Linked DNA regions of Nothobranchius furzeri. The protein of the gene in region 3 purifies or fractionates together with the protein of the main gene of each other region. This does not show direct contact. Links are inferred from orthologs where the notes say so. Each region holds a gene or a part of one and is shown on either strand. Other genes may lie near its edges.

Evidence for each region. Proteins that work in one complex are often made in the same cells at the same time.
Region 1: the proteins of imp3 (region 3) and utp25 purify together in Homo sapiens (affinity purification with mass spectrometry; 3 studies listed by BioGRID and IntAct, with this or other methods). This does not show direct contact. The link is inferred for Nothobranchius furzeri from reciprocal best matches to the Homo sapiens genes IMP3 and UTP25.
Region 2: the proteins of imp3 (region 3) and utp3 purify together in Homo sapiens (affinity purification with mass spectrometry; 3 studies listed by BioGRID and IntAct, with this or other methods). This does not show direct contact. The link is inferred for Nothobranchius furzeri from reciprocal best matches to the Homo sapiens genes IMP3 and UTP3.

Annotation. Positions count from the first base shown.
Region 1 is NC_091758.1:40,769,389-40,774,390, reverse strand, and holds the start of utp25 (U3 small nucleolar RNA-associated protein 25 homolog), read left to right. Parts: upstream 1-1,814; 5' UTR 1,815-1,878; coding exon 1,879-1,943; intron 1,944-2,891; exon of another isoform or gene 2,892-4,453; coding exon of another isoform or gene 4,454-4,492; intron 4,493-4,573; coding exon of another isoform or gene 4,574-4,987; exon of another isoform or gene 4,988-5,002. Other genes in the region: transmembrane protein 151B, read right to left, coding at 1-297, 1,526-1,606; grxcr1b (glutaredoxin domain-containing cysteine-rich protein 1), read right to left, coding at 4,454-4,492, 4,574-4,987. UniProt on the Homo sapiens protein: Component of the ribosomal small subunit processome for the biogenesis of ribosomes, functions in pre-ribosomal RNA (pre-rRNA) processing. Essential for embryonic development in part through the regulation of p53 pathway.
Region 2 is NC_091743.1:64,230,646-64,235,468, forward strand, and holds the start of utp3 (something about silencing protein 10), read left to right. Parts: upstream 1-1,635; 5' UTR 1,636-1,779; coding exon 1,780-1,796; intron 1,797-2,089; coding exon 2,090-2,177; intron 2,178-2,814; coding exon 2,815-2,871; intron 2,872-2,948; coding exon 2,949-3,005; intron 3,006-3,083; coding exon 3,084-3,189; intron 3,190-3,259; coding exon 3,260-3,328; intron 3,329-3,420; coding exon 3,421-3,542; intron 3,543-3,628; coding exon 3,629-3,784; intron 3,785-3,866; coding exon 3,867-3,938; intron 3,939-4,823. UniProt on the Homo sapiens protein: Essential for gene silencing: has a role in the structure of silenced chromatin. Plays a role in the developing brain. Part of the small subunit (SSU) processome, first precursor of the small eukaryotic ribosomal subunit.
Region 3 is NC_091751.1:70,487,194-70,491,904, reverse strand, and holds the start of imp3 (U3 small nucleolar ribonucleoprotein protein IMP3), read left to right. Parts: upstream 1-1,615; 5' UTR 1,616-1,837; coding exon 1,838-1,974; intron 1,975-4,364; coding exon 4,365-4,472; intron 4,473-4,711. UniProt on the Homo sapiens protein: Component of the 60-80S U3 small nucleolar ribonucleoprotein (U3 snoRNP). Required for the early cleavages during pre-18S ribosomal RNA processing. Part of the small subunit (SSU) processome, first precursor of the small eukaryotic ribosomal subunit.

The DNA of each region.
Region 1 (5,002 bases), on a different chromosome or scaffold from region 3:
CACTTTGTGCTGCAACTCGTTCTTCACGTGACAGTGCCAGCACTCCACCAGGTACACCAGGTAGAGCATGCCCAGCAGGGCCAAAGGGATGTAGATGTAGCCGTCAGAACAGGGGCTGTCGTGGTACATCATGGATTTCCCTTTGAAGGCGCTGTCGAAGGTGAGGCGCGTCACCTTGGTGACGGTACACCAGACCATCGCTCCCATGCAGCCGTACATGAGGACGGACAGGAGAAGACATTTCCAGAAACTCTCCCGACAAAACGACTTGCTCAGGGATTGTTTCAGCGGTCTTTGCTGTTGCAAAAAAATAAAAAGAGGAAGTGGTTGAGAAATGTTAGAAAACATTCTTTGGCATCACATTTAAAGGCATTAATAAAAGCAAGTGGTCTAACACGATTTCCTGCAAAACAACGTTTAAAGGGGTGTGAAGCAAGAACGGAAAAATGACACCCTGTGGTTACGTTAGGGTACGTCAGTCCATTTCACTCTTTCGCTCCCGTTGCATGACTCGTGGCTGTGGCGAGTTACGGGTCAGCACCAGAGGGCTGTAGATGACGAGCCAAGACGATTCAGAAACACGAAGTTGATAAGTAGATAAATACATTTATTTCACTGTAATACGAGCTGTTGGTAATTGAAAAAGTAGCTTGATGTATTTTTTGATTTGTTTCTAATTTACTGTTAGCATTGTTAGCTCAACGTTAGCCTCTAGCCTGCTTCACCCAAGTTTAGAGTAAAAAAATAACGTTGTGGCTTCTTAGCGGTACAAGAAATAACTTCTGGGTCACTCCTTTTTACTGGCTTAGGATCTTCGGACAACTCTGGAGCTTTTTGTCAGCCGGTGTAAGCCAACAAATGCGGGAACGCTCAGCATTTATAGACCCAGCTATCCCAGATTGTACACAAAGACATCTTTGGCCATTTAGAAAGGAGAAAAACTCCCATCTGTGCCTGTTATGCTCTTCTTTTTTGTAAATATTGGTCTGATTGTGGTAAATTATCACTATTTGGCAGTTTAAGTTCATTTCTTGTGTTTTGAGGTTCTGCTTTTTGCACGTTATTCTGCTGATTTGTGCACGCTAAAGGAATTTTTTTTCATTTTTGTGCTACACCTTGCATTCCCAGAATCACTACAAGTTATTTTTATTGTATTTTATAGAGAAGCGTTTTAATTGTCATAAAGTAAATGTGCTGTTTAACAGCAGAACCAGTAAGGAATGAAAGAAGGCTCCCCGTCTGCATCAAACCCACTAAGGCAGGATTACACATCGTGGCATGTCTCTAATAGCTGTTAGTCAAGTGTGACTGCTGAGCTCCAGGCCCTGCTGCAGCAGATGAAAGGTGACAGGCTGTCCGGATAATCACGGGTCTTCTGGGGTCAGCATCATTAGATCATTTAGATAAACCATAAAACAGACTAGTGCGTAAACATCTTTGAAAAACACCGCGAGCTCGTGCAGTCTGCACGCGCAGCGCGCCTTTGGACACATTTAAGCACTGCGACAACAGAAACGGTCTCTACCTCCTCCCTGCTGTCTTCCTCGAACACGGTGGTGGTCGTGCTGCTTTCAGTCGCCGGGGCCGCCGACGCTGGAGGAGACATGGTGCCGGGCTGCTATTGACAACAATGATGGGGCGTGGAGATGGAGGAAGAAGGAGAGAGGATGAGGAGGAGGAGGTTTCTCCACCTTTTTCTGCCTCTGCAGCGTCTCTCATCCCAGACGAGCCGCCGCGTTACATCTATCATTTCATTCTGACGGGACTCGATGAAACCCGGGAAAATTGGACCATTCTGGTGGAGGGGAAGAGGGAAGTCTTCAGAAAGTCTCCCCCCTGCTGGAGCGTTTCCCCAGCCCTCAGTGCCGCAGTGAAAGGATGGAGAAGCGAAACCCGCTGCGGCGCTCCGGGTCCGCGGTGCTGATGGAGCAGGTGAGCCGTTGGTGCGTAAAGCTGACACTCTCCCACTGGGGCTTGAGATAATAAACAAGACGTATAATAATAATAATAATAATAATAATAATAATGATGATGATGATGATAATAATAATAATAATAATGATGGTGATAATAATAATAATAATAATAATGATGATGATGATAATAATAATAATGATGATGATGATGATAATAATAATGATAATAATGATAATAATAATAATAATAATAATAATGATGATGATGATGATGATGACACTAATAATGATGATAATAATAATAATAATAATATTAATGATAATAATAATAATGACGATGATGATAATGATGATGATGATGATAATAATAATAATGATGATGATGATGATGATGATGACACTAATAATGATGATAATAATAATAATAATAATATTAATGATAATAATAATAATGACGATGATGACGATGATGACGATGATGATAATGATGATGATGATGATAATAATAATAATAATAATGATGATGATGATGACAATAATAATGATGACGATGATGATGATGATGATGATGATGATAATAATAATAATAATATTGATGAGTCATAAATAAGTCATAAGCGGCCGAAATGAGTCTCCTCCGTAGGGTGGCCGGGCTCAGCCTTAGAGATAGGGTGAGGAGCTCGGACATTCGGGAGGGACTCGGAGTAGAACCGCTGCTCCTCCGGATCGAAAGGAGCCAGTTGAGGTGGTTTGGGCATCTGGTCAGGATGCCTCCTGGACGCCTCCCTGGGGAGGTGTTTCGGGCATGTCCTGCCGGCAGAAGGCCCCCGGGTCGACCCAGGACACGTTGGAGAGGTTACATCTCCAATCTGGTCCGGGAACGCCTTGGGGTCCTGCCGGAGGAGCTGGTGGAGAAGGCCAGGGAGAGGACGGCCTGGAGCTCCCTAATTGGGATGCTGCCCCCGCGACCCGGACCCGGATAAGCGGAGGAAGACGAAGACAAACGAAGACATAAATAACATTTTCCAAGTGGCTACAGGTAAGATAAACTTATGAACAATTTCCCCTCATTCCAAAGTTTTTTCCTGCAGTTCTTTAGCTTTCCGAAGAAATGCCTTTTATTTATTAATTCATTGATCTCTAACAGTCATCATTAGTTTTAGTTTCAATTTCTGCAAGTCTCATATGAAAGTTGGGTTTAATGTTTCTGGGAATACCTTGGGAACATTCCCTAAAGATTACATAATTTAACAGTTCAAATATGTTTTGGGAACATTCCCCAAATGTAATTTTTGTCATGACTTTGTAACGCTGAGGGAACATTGAAAAGGCTTGAGTTAACATAACAGGACTGTAATCTCTCAAAAGCATTTCCTAAATGTTCCCTTTATTTTCCCTGAAGACTGCAATTCCGGACAATCCACGAAAGATTCCTCGAAGATTACAAAGTGTAGCCTTTTGAGTACACTTCCGGAGTGTTCCCTGTTTGTCCTCCATTTGTAAAGTCATGATTTGTTTTAGTCCACAAACAACATTCCCTGAATGTCACAAGGTTATTTTCAGACCATTCAGGGAACATTCCTGAAATCCATATTGTGAAAGTTTGTGCTAAAGGTCAGGAAAAGTTTTCTTCAGGTAAATGTTCCCTAAAATTTCTCTAAATGCTGTCATTAATTTATAGCCCTCATTTGCTGAATTTTATGGTTTAAACGGTAAAGCAGGGAAGCTCGGGAACATGCCCTGAAGGTCAGACTGGGATTCAGGGAAGTTTCACTGAAATGAAAAACGACAGCAGTTTTCATGGTGGTGTGGTTGGTGCCTCCTGGTTTTCTCTTTGAGGAGTTTCACACCAAGCCAGAACTCACCGGAGGGAATACGTTATGCTCTCTGGGAATACTTTGGAGTTCTGTAGGAGAAACTTGTTTGGTTTTAAAGGGATGTGTCAGTTTCCTTCTTCCCAAATAGGAAAACAGGATCAACAAAGCAGAAATCTTCCAGGAAATGAAAATGAAGGTTTATTCAAGGTTTATGAAGTGCATCCAATCTGAACCTGATTACAAAAGTTTAACAAAAACATTAACGAGGGACTTTCCGACAAATATCAAAATCACACGACATTCCCGTTTAAACTGGTATTTTATAAAAAATCTTATAAAAACTTCTTTTGTGTCTCTGAGCTCTGAGGAAACTTCTTCAGCAGATTACGACGTTTACACGAGTCAGAAGATGTGATTTAACTGAACTTCTAGTGAATCTTTGTTGTTATGGTGACAGTAAATGAATATTTGTGGAGGTCAGATTCTACCAAAAAGACACAGAAAACACAATAAATAATGTTTCTGAATAACAAATAAAATCTTTCTATTGATTTGATGCTCACAATCGGACTTTGTTTGTGTCGTCATCTCATTAAACAACAAATTTGAATATTGTGTCTGAAACTTTTGATCATTGGGTTAGTTTTGATGGCAGAAGCACTCTTCCTTAACAACCAGACTTCCTGGATACTTGTGACTCCTTCTCCTTGGAGGTGTTCCTTACTCCTTGTCCCAGGGCCACCTTCTCTGACGAGATCCCTTCAACCAAAAGGATTGATCTTTTTTATTCCCCCCACAAACACAAAGCTGAGATGTTTAGAGAGTTTGGAGAGAACTTACCGAGTACATATTGGAGAGGTTGTTGAAGAGCACCTGTCCTGCGCTCACCTTGTTCCTCACCCCGCGGATCGTCCCGTTCTTGCTGCAGATGTTGATCCTCTTGTTGGTGAACAGCATCTCTCTCTTGGCACTGGCGTATAAAAGCAGGTCATCGGGTTCGCCGCCGTTCTCGTCCGCAGCAGCCTGCAGCCCGTTCAGGTGACGGTTGGCCTCACTGGCGGGCGGCGAGCTGACCTGCTCTGTCTCTGAGCTGCCGGTACCGTCAGAGTCCACCGACTCTGAAACTGAGCGGCACCAAGTCCTTTCATCCTTGAACACCTCAGCCAGGACCCGGCCGCTGTTGGCGGACGCAACCCTAAACCTGACGGTTTTCCCAGCCTTTTCCCTCTCCCGTTTCAGTTCTGGTCCGTCCATTGAAACTCAAGAAGG
Region 2 (4,823 bases), on a different chromosome or scaffold from region 3:
GAGGAGCTGGTGGAGAAGGCCGGGGAGAGGACGGTCTGGAGCTCCCTATTGGGATGCTGCCCCCGCGACCCGGACCCGGATAAGCGGAGGAAGACGACGACGGCCCTTCTTCTAAGTCTGCATCGATGCAGACTGCAGATCAAGGGTGCAAAAGGGTGCGTGATCAACTTCTGAACTTAAGAATCGGGTGCAATGTGGTAGTGCAAGTATTGGGATTGGGCCCATGAGTGGCAGCAGACAGCAGGATTTGGGGTTTTATTTCCTAATATTTGAATATCTCACCTCTGATTGACTAACAGCAAAGCAACTCTACCACTGATTCAGTTTGCTTTGAAACGTTAATGTTTTATATCCTCAAATACAAACTGGAGGAGTTCTGCATGTGGTTGAGTTTCTAATGCTAACAGGTAGCTTATGCTTGCCGAGATGTTCAATGCTGTTTCCTGGACGCTAAAACAACAACAGCCTTCCCCGTCGTGAGCCAAAATGGGTGAGTCCAAGTTACCAGCTGACGTAGAGCTATCAGGCTTTTCAAATCCTACAGTTTCACCATCTGTTTTCTATCACAAGCAAATGCAAGACAAAAGTGTAGGAGACTATTTTCATGTTCAGCCAGTATGAAAAACTCATGACTAATTTTAATCAGAAATAATAATTAAACTGGTTTTAAAGTGATCCACACCTTTAAATGAAAGAATAATCAAATGTGTTATAGAAGCCATATCGGCTGAGACAAATCTTTCACGTGTGGTACCAAATGCTGCTTTGCAGCTCCTACGTCAAGGAAATGAAATGACTCATAACTCATGATTAAACCGTCATTTAAAAAAAATCATTGATACATTTGCCAACTACACACTCCTCAGTATGTTATTTCATTGTAAAACTATTCTCAGGTTCTCCAGGACTCAAAGTAATTCCTCAGGACTGATTTAAACTCAGATGGATTATTTTTTACAAGTAGTCATGGCTCAAATGTGAAATAAACTACATTTTAAAAATGTTTTATTGCAAGTTTTACATCAGATTAAGAAAAGATGGACCTTTAGATGTTAGTGAATATTTTGTTAATTTTAAAATTTTGATTGCCTTTGATATAAACTTTTTCTATTTTATTAAAATTGTTTATGTTTTCCCTTTTATTCTGTTGTATTGTGAAGCACTGCTACTTTCTGTAAAACGTTTTTATTTTTTGGTAATGAACTGTGAATTGGAATGTTTATTATGTGAAGTGCCTTGAGACGACTCTTGTCGTGATTTGGCGCTATATAAATAAATTTGAATTGAATTGAATTTAATAGTCAAATCATCAAAAACAATTTTTACTGTTTTCATATTCTAACAAAATTTTTAATACATTTTAAAGATTAAAAAATTAGAAAAGAAATAAAGGTAATTTTCTTTTCCAGTAATGAATAATAAACTTTTTTCATGAAAATTTTTTATTAAATATTTGCTCATTCGTGAAATTCTTTAGAACAAAACTATTTTGTCTAGGAAAAACATTTAAAAAAAATGCATGTTTAATATTTTTAAATTAATGTTTTCAGGTGGCAGGATTTTATTTATTTTATTTACAAACTAAAAAATAAACAATTACGCTCCTGCTCGGTAGGTGGCGGTGTGCGTGTTTTTCAACCAGAGAAGAAGAATCACGGAAGCACATGGCGTCAACATTACTGTGACTGAACATATTTCTTAACTTTTGTTTGAATTGATTGATTTGAGCCTTTTTGCGTTTGTTTTTAAAGTAGTTGAAGAACTCGGGTTGCTGCAGTCATGGTTCGAGCTACAAGGTGGGTTTAGTTAAAGCGATTACTGGTTAATTTACCTCCTAGCCTTTAATAACTGGATGAAAGTAATATTTTGTACGTTCTTGCTATGTTTGTCTTCAAATTCCATTTTTGGTTCTTTTTTAAACACAAATAAAGGTTTCCTTTAGATTTGAACCCAGGTTTTCTTTGGAAAAACTTTATATGTGTTTTAAAAAGAACCAAAAATGGAATTTGGATGAAAGTAAATACAAAACAAAAACAACGTCAAATAAAAGGCTGCAAATGCACCCGATGGTGACTTTTTTTCTTTACAGGAGGAAACAAACCCGAAGGCCTCAGACGAAGCAACAATATGACGACGATGACCCTGAAGCCTACAGAAAAATGCCTGTTCCTGATAAGGTAACTAATAAATATAGAATTATTTCATCTACTTAAAGAGCAAGTCACCCCCAAATAAACTTTTTTTTGCTGATAAACTAAATAAACGAGTGTCTAATCGTGCTGCAGACACGTGTCGTCAATAATTTGGCACTTCAGTGCATCTTAGTTAAAATTTAAATATTCTGCCTAAAACTGGCAGTGTTGTGCCGTTGTCAGGTAAAAACTCTGCACTGTATTTTAATTTAAATCTGCCACCGCTATTGGCTAAGAAGTATGCTATGATGTAAACTGGTACATTATGATGTCACAATGCTGTCGTGAGCCTGAGTGTGTGTGTATTTGTTAGCGGCTCCGCCCTCTCGGTCTGCCAGGCAACAGCATGTGTTGCATTTTTCAAACATGAAGCAGGAGTGGAGTTAGACTCTGGTAGGGGTTGACTTGCTCTTTAAAATGGTTCTTAATTTTGAATGAAAAGACAAACCATTGATCTAAAAAAGAATAATGGACCAAAACGTTTTGTTTATTCAATTACGCTTTTTATGAAAGGAATAACAGTGCAAATGTGAAGTTTTCCTCCCAGTTCTGCACTTAAAATGCTTTTTCCAGGTATGATTATTCTCCAGATCAAGTTTTCAGTGTCTTCTCTCTTTTACAGAAGTCTTTAGAGTTCATAAAAGACAAAATCGATGAGTTTCACGATGAGAAAATAGCTGTAAGTTCTCCTATTTTAATCCTTGAGAACAATGTGGTTGTTTTGTGTATTGAATATTTTCTTCTGTGGTGTCACAGAAACTTCTCGCCCGTGGCGTTCAAATGGAGAGTGACGAAGAGGAGCTGGATGATGAGGTATTTTGGTTTCTGTTTATTTAGGGTTAAAATTAAAATGTTTTTAGAAGAAACAGAAGTTTTGTCTAAATTTCCCAGGAGGAGGTGATGGCTCTTGATGATTCAGAAACAGAAGAAGAGGAGGAGGAAAACAAGGATGATGGGACAGATATGGAGAGTGACCTGGAGGAAAAAAAGGAAGAAGGCGAGTCCACGGTTGTTTTTAAGCTTGCTTTAATCACTGATATTATTTAATTTTGTCTTGTCATCCTCAGATCTTCCCAATGAGATGGCGTGGGGCACCAGAAAGAAAATGTTCTACGACTCTGATTACGTTGCTACCAGTACGCATCTTTTACCTCTGTTCGTTGGGTTTGCTTTAATCCCACGCAGGACTGATATTTACACACCCAACCTTTTATTCCTGCCATCACAGAAGGGAAACCACGGGAAGAGTTGGAGGTGGAGGAGCAGGAGGAAGAAGAAGAGGCGATAAGTATCCAGAAACGTTTGGCAGCGACTCTGAGCGAGGAAGATTATGATTTGAGCTTTTTTCAGGTATTTTTTTATTTAATTTGTTTTGTTTGCTTACAGTAAAGTATAACATAATAACTGATTCTTTTCAATCTGGTCACCTTTTGAAGGAGTTTGCTGCGAAGGACAAGGATGAAAGCAAGCCGGTGGAAAAGCAGGAGAGGATTGTGAAAGACTTAAAGCAGATGTCTCAGAAGGAGAAAATGAAGCTTTTAAAAAAGGAATCCCCAGAGCTGCTTGAACTCATTCAGGACTTCAGGGCAAAGGTCAGACAGGAACACTGACAGCGCAGCTGTACAAGTCATGAACTTTTAGACGGTGACATGTTGTTTTGTGTGACTTGTGCAGCTCACTGAACTGAAGGATGAGCTGAAACCCCTCCTGCAGATGGTCAGAGATGGACAGATCCCACCAGGGAAGGTGAGAGGAGGAAGCTCTTAAATGATCATTTTACAGCAAGTTTTATTCGTGGAAAATCACCAACGAGAAGATTATTGTGTGTCTGCGCCAAACAGCGAGCAGCAAGTTGGTAAAAACGAGCAGCTCGTGGTTAACATTTTTTATGAGCTCCTGTTCAACTGGGATCGTTCCTCTGAGGTGTTTACGCTCTACTGGAATCACGGGTTCGTCTCAGAGAGCTGTCTCATCTGGTCTGAGTGGACAGGAGTGCGATCTGTCCACAGATGAGACGGGGTGGGCATGATGTGGATTTTTAATCTGGGGAATAAGCTGACTGAAGCCTGTTAAGTTTGATTTAACAGATTTGGGTAATAGTGTTCTGATAGTGATGTGCAGCACCGACCAACGTTGGTCATTTTTAACATATCGTAAGCTGGGCGTATATTAACAACTGATGTTTGTGTATCTGTTTCAGGAAGGTGTAGGTCGAGTGGTATTTGTCTGGTCAGGTGACATCAATCATCTCAACAGCAATAATAGTATTTGATACCAGTGCACCCCTACTCCTCAGGTTACAGGAGGTGTTTTTGGGACGATGTTTTTGTGTAAAAGTGATAAATAGTTACTAGAGTTAAAGAAACATTGTTTTAAAGGCCCAGCTTTAGTCATCAGACTGATACAGATGTGTAAAATACGATAAACAGCCGATAAGTGTTGATGCAGAAATGTCGTGCATCTGATTTCACCTGCTGTAAATGGCTGAACAGAGTCAGTTGGGAGAAATGGAGGTTGTATTCTACAGGACTCATGAGGTAAAACGGTTTCTTAGGGCCTCATGAGACTTCACCGGCTACAAAATGTAGCAGATCCGGAGCACCCAGGTCAAATCTGGCTGGAACTCACTGT
Region 3 (4,711 bases):
ACTATCTCTCTTTTCAAATATATGCTGAATATTCTTTGGCAATGTACCTTTATTTGCTTTATACATTATATGCAATATTCTCCAGTTGACCAAATCATGAAATTTAATTACTTTATATTTTATAAATAATGGCTTAGATGGAGCTGTACTATGAGTGTTGTCTATAATTCTCATTGCTCTTTTCTGCAAAACAAACAAAGGTTGTGTATACGTTCTATATGCAGTTCCCCAGATTTCTACACAATAATTTAAGTATGGCAGAATCAGTGCATTGTATAGTAATAACAATCCTTCACTATTTAGTACAAACTTTACACTATATAATACTGCAACGACTTTGGCCATTTTACCTTTTATATAGCCTATATGTGATTTCCAGCTTAGAGCTTCATCAATCATTACTCCCAGTCATTTGACAGTGTTGTTAAAACATGAAAATATGTTGAAAAAAGTCAGATTAAAGTTCAAAGTGGGTCCAAAGCTAATTTCTATGATTGTTGGAGAACCGTTTCAGCTAAGCTAATGCCTTTTCCAGGAAGCATTTACTCCCACCTCTAACAAACCCTAACCCCAATGCTGCTGCAAAGGTCCAGCTCAAGACGCGGTTCTGAGCATTTACTTCCTCTGCTGCACAACAACAGAAGACAAGTTTGAGATCACTTGAATAAACTTTCCTCAGACGTTCCTGCAGCCTCTAAAGCCTAATTCATGCTTCTCCCTCAGCGTCCCGAGGGAGAGACGCACGGACGGAGATGTTTTGCCCTCAGACTTCTCCGTTTTCTGACCCTGTTTTGTACGTAAGCAAGCTTGATATATGAGACCCCTGGTCTACAGGGCCTTACATGGACAAGCACCATCTTACATTGGTGATCTTCTTAGTCCCTACACCCCCAGCAGGTCCCTGAGGTCCAGTGATCAAAGCCTACTGGTTGTGCAGCACCAGGCTAAAGGTCAAAGGTGACAGATCATCTGCTGCTGTGGCCCCCAGACTCTGGACCTCTCTCCCCCTGCGCCTGAGATCAGTGGACTCAGTGGTCTCCTTCAAAAAGCAGCTGAAGACTCACCTGTTCAGGCTTTTGCGTGACCTTCATCACCACCCTCTCCTTATTCTGCTCTTTATACCCATTACGCCCTTCTCAGTGTTCCAACTAACCATGCTACTCGTTGATATGTGCTACTTTGGGGAAATGCACATGCACAGACCGATCACAGGCTGTTTCCCTAAAGAGACGCGCTACCTCTGGAAGTTTCTGCTTGTTGTAGGTTTACCTGACAGCTTGTAAAATATCATTATACTGTGAAGTAATTTCTCCCATAGTTTACCATCATTCATGACAAACTGTCTTTTTCATAAAAAAATCACGACAAACATTGTAAATTGTTGCTAATAATTATACTACAGTTCTGTATTTTTGAGTAATATTACCTATTTAAAATAAAACGTGCTTAATAAGTGCGTTATTATACTGTAAACAAGAGCAAAACTGTCGTAACATGATGCAGTAGGAATATTCCACGAGGAAGCAGGGATAGTCAGAACACCCTCATGGACGTCCATCTTTCCTATTAATTTTCTCTCTGTTTTCTTACATTTTTAAATCATAATTGTTTTTTTCTAATCTTAAACATGTCTTTAAATAATTTCAATAAATGTTTTTCATATTTTAAATTTCGCTATAAAAGACAGTTTTCTTTCTTTCGTTCACACCGCTTGGTGGCAGTAATGCGCCATCTTGTTGTTTGTCAACCGCCAATAAAAATCCAGAAGAAGCCACAGAAGAACACGTGTTTCCGGTTTGAGTAGCTGCAGTTGGCAAGCCGCTAATAAACAGTAGAAATGGTTCGTAAATTGAAACACCATGAGCAGAAGCTGCTGAAGAAGGTGGACTTTATTAACTGGGAGGTGGACAACAACCTTCACGAGGTCAAGGTGCTGCGGAGGTATCATATCGAGAAGCGGGAGGACTACATGAAGTAAGCTAGCTGCTAAACCTACCTGATATTTATCTTTATATAATTAGATAGTTTAGACAGTGTTCACTCGTTAAATCACAGACTGTATGAAGCTAATTTAACGCTAATGTTCAGAAAGCACGCTGTCCACTGAGGTGGACATGTAATAAATTATTTGTAAATGATTAAATGTTTGTTGAAGTTTGTTTCATTCACACCTAAAGATGAATGAAAAAAATTGTTTAAAAAATCATGGTTGAAGATTTCATAATTCATGCATCAAAGGGTTCCCTTTTTCTGTAAATTTGTGTGCAACAGTGTTGTTAATGATTTGATCTATTTAAAAATACTTATAATTAAAAGAATGAACACGATTTAAACGTTTATTGTGGGTAAATTTGTGTGCAAGATAAAACAGCGTTTTTTAATGATTTTTGATTAAAAAATTCTTTAATTGAAAAGAATAAACATGATTTAAACTCTTTTTGTAAAATTGCGTGCAAGATAAAACTGCGTTTTTTTATTTATTTAAAAATACTTTTAATTAAAAGAATAAACACAATTTAAACATCCCTTCTTTTTTTTTGTAAAATTGTTGGCAAGGTAAAACCCATCAAGTACTATGTCCTCCCCAATGTTCATAAAGATCTGATGTGGTATTTCAAAATAAAGTGCAATCAAAGTTGACTATAAAGACAATTTTCCCCATATTCAATGGTTTCTTTCTCTAAAAACAGTTTGATTGCGCTACATCATTCCACTTCAGTATTACAGTACACATTGAGTACTACATCCTCCCCGACTTTCATAAAGATGTGATGTGGCATTTCGAAATAAAGTGCAATCAAATTTGTCAATGACAATTTTCACTATATATATATATATATATAAATGTCACATCAGAATTAACGATGTACCCAAACAAGTTCATTTAACGATCATTCCTGAACTTGTTCCTTGTTTTATTTTTGAGTGTAAACCAAACTCACGAATTTTGCCTGGGGGGGGGGGGGGGGGGTGTTTACGGTTAACCATGCATTGACTCATTTGCTGTGTCTGGTTTTCTCCACACTTAGAATTACGGCCGTACATCAGCACCTCACCTAACACACTATTGTAGGCGTGTTTTGTCGGAGCGGGCGTGGGCAGAGCTTTGCCAAAAATTAACCATTTCATTTCCGGGTGTAAATTCAGGGTGACGAAAATGACTCGTTTATAAGATAAATGACATCTCAGCAGTACAGCATCCATACAGCACAATGTCTCAATCCAGAATGACTTCCTATCTCTGGCTCCTTCAAAGGCAGTTGGAAATCTGGGTGTTGTGATTGATGAACACCTGACCTTTAAAGATCACGTTGCCTCTGTTGCTCGTTCATGCCGCTTTGCGCTGTATAACATACGAAAGATCAGACCATACCTAACATAACATGCCACCCAGCTCCTGGTGCAATCTACTGTCATCTCCCGCCTCGATTACTGCAACGCCCTTCTAACTGGTCTTCCAGCCTGGACTGTCAGACCTGTTCAGATGGTCCAGAACGCAGCGGCGCGTCTGGTCTTCAATCAGCCAAAAAGAGCACACGTCACCCCTCTGTTCATTGAGCTCCACTGGCTACCGCTAGCAGCACGCATCAAATTCAAATTGCTAACACTAGCATACAAAGTCCGAGACGGTACGGCTCCCATCTACCTGAATCCTCTTGCAAAGGCTTACGTCTCGGCCCGGCCGCTCCGGTCATCACAGGATGGTCGGCTAGCAGTGCCTACACCACGCTCAGGACAATCCAGACTCTTCTCATGCATCGTTCCACAAATGTGGAATGACCTACCAAGCACTACCAGAACAGGGGCTTCCTTTTCAATTTTCAAGAAACTCCTGAAGACCCTGCTCTTCAGAGAGCATCTTCTAAACTAGCACCCTCCCTGCACCCGTCCCCCCCTCTCTACTGTCCACTCCTTGTTCCCTCCTCTCCATGACTGATGTCAAGTTGTTGTTGTTGTTGTTAGCCTCAAGGGCAACATGCCGATTATCACTTGTAAGTCGCGTTGGACAAAAGCGTCTGCTAAATACATAAACATAGTACTAATGGTAGTATATTATGATGTACTGTGTCTACCTTTGCTCTCAGTGGTTTAAAATAGCAGGATATGGAACCTTTATGGGCTTCAATAACCGGTTAAAAATGTTTTGGGAAACGTGCGTCCCTATTATGTCTGTTTTTCCTGATCTTTTTAATTTGATGCTGGATGCTTAAATGAAGTTAAATAGAAACGTTTAGCTAACCGAGTGCTAAACTTGGCATGGGCACAACCTGCAGCAGCAGCCTGGAGTGGTGGTGTTTACGGCAGCGCTACCCTGGCTGAACATTTCTGCTAGAGGAGCTTTAAACCCTATTTATTTTGCTCAGGTACAACAAGCTGAGTCGCAGCATCAGAAATCTGGCTCAGAAGATTCGAGACCTGGATGAGAAGGATGGCTTCAGAGCTCAGAGTACGCACCACCTGTTAGAAAAGCTGTAAGTTGCTCCTGTCGTGCTCACACAGAAACCAGTCTGTAACTCTAACATGGCCGCGCGTGTTTGTACCCGTTTACCTCGAACGCAGCTTTAGCTCCACCCACTGATGGTTTATGCTGGTGAAGGTTCTCACTCGGTCTTACAGGTCATGGTGATCCAAAAGGCAGCTGGACCTCTTAGGTTTCTTGGAGTCGTTTCACTTCTCGTCTGAGGAGCTTTGTCAATTCTAACTGGAATAT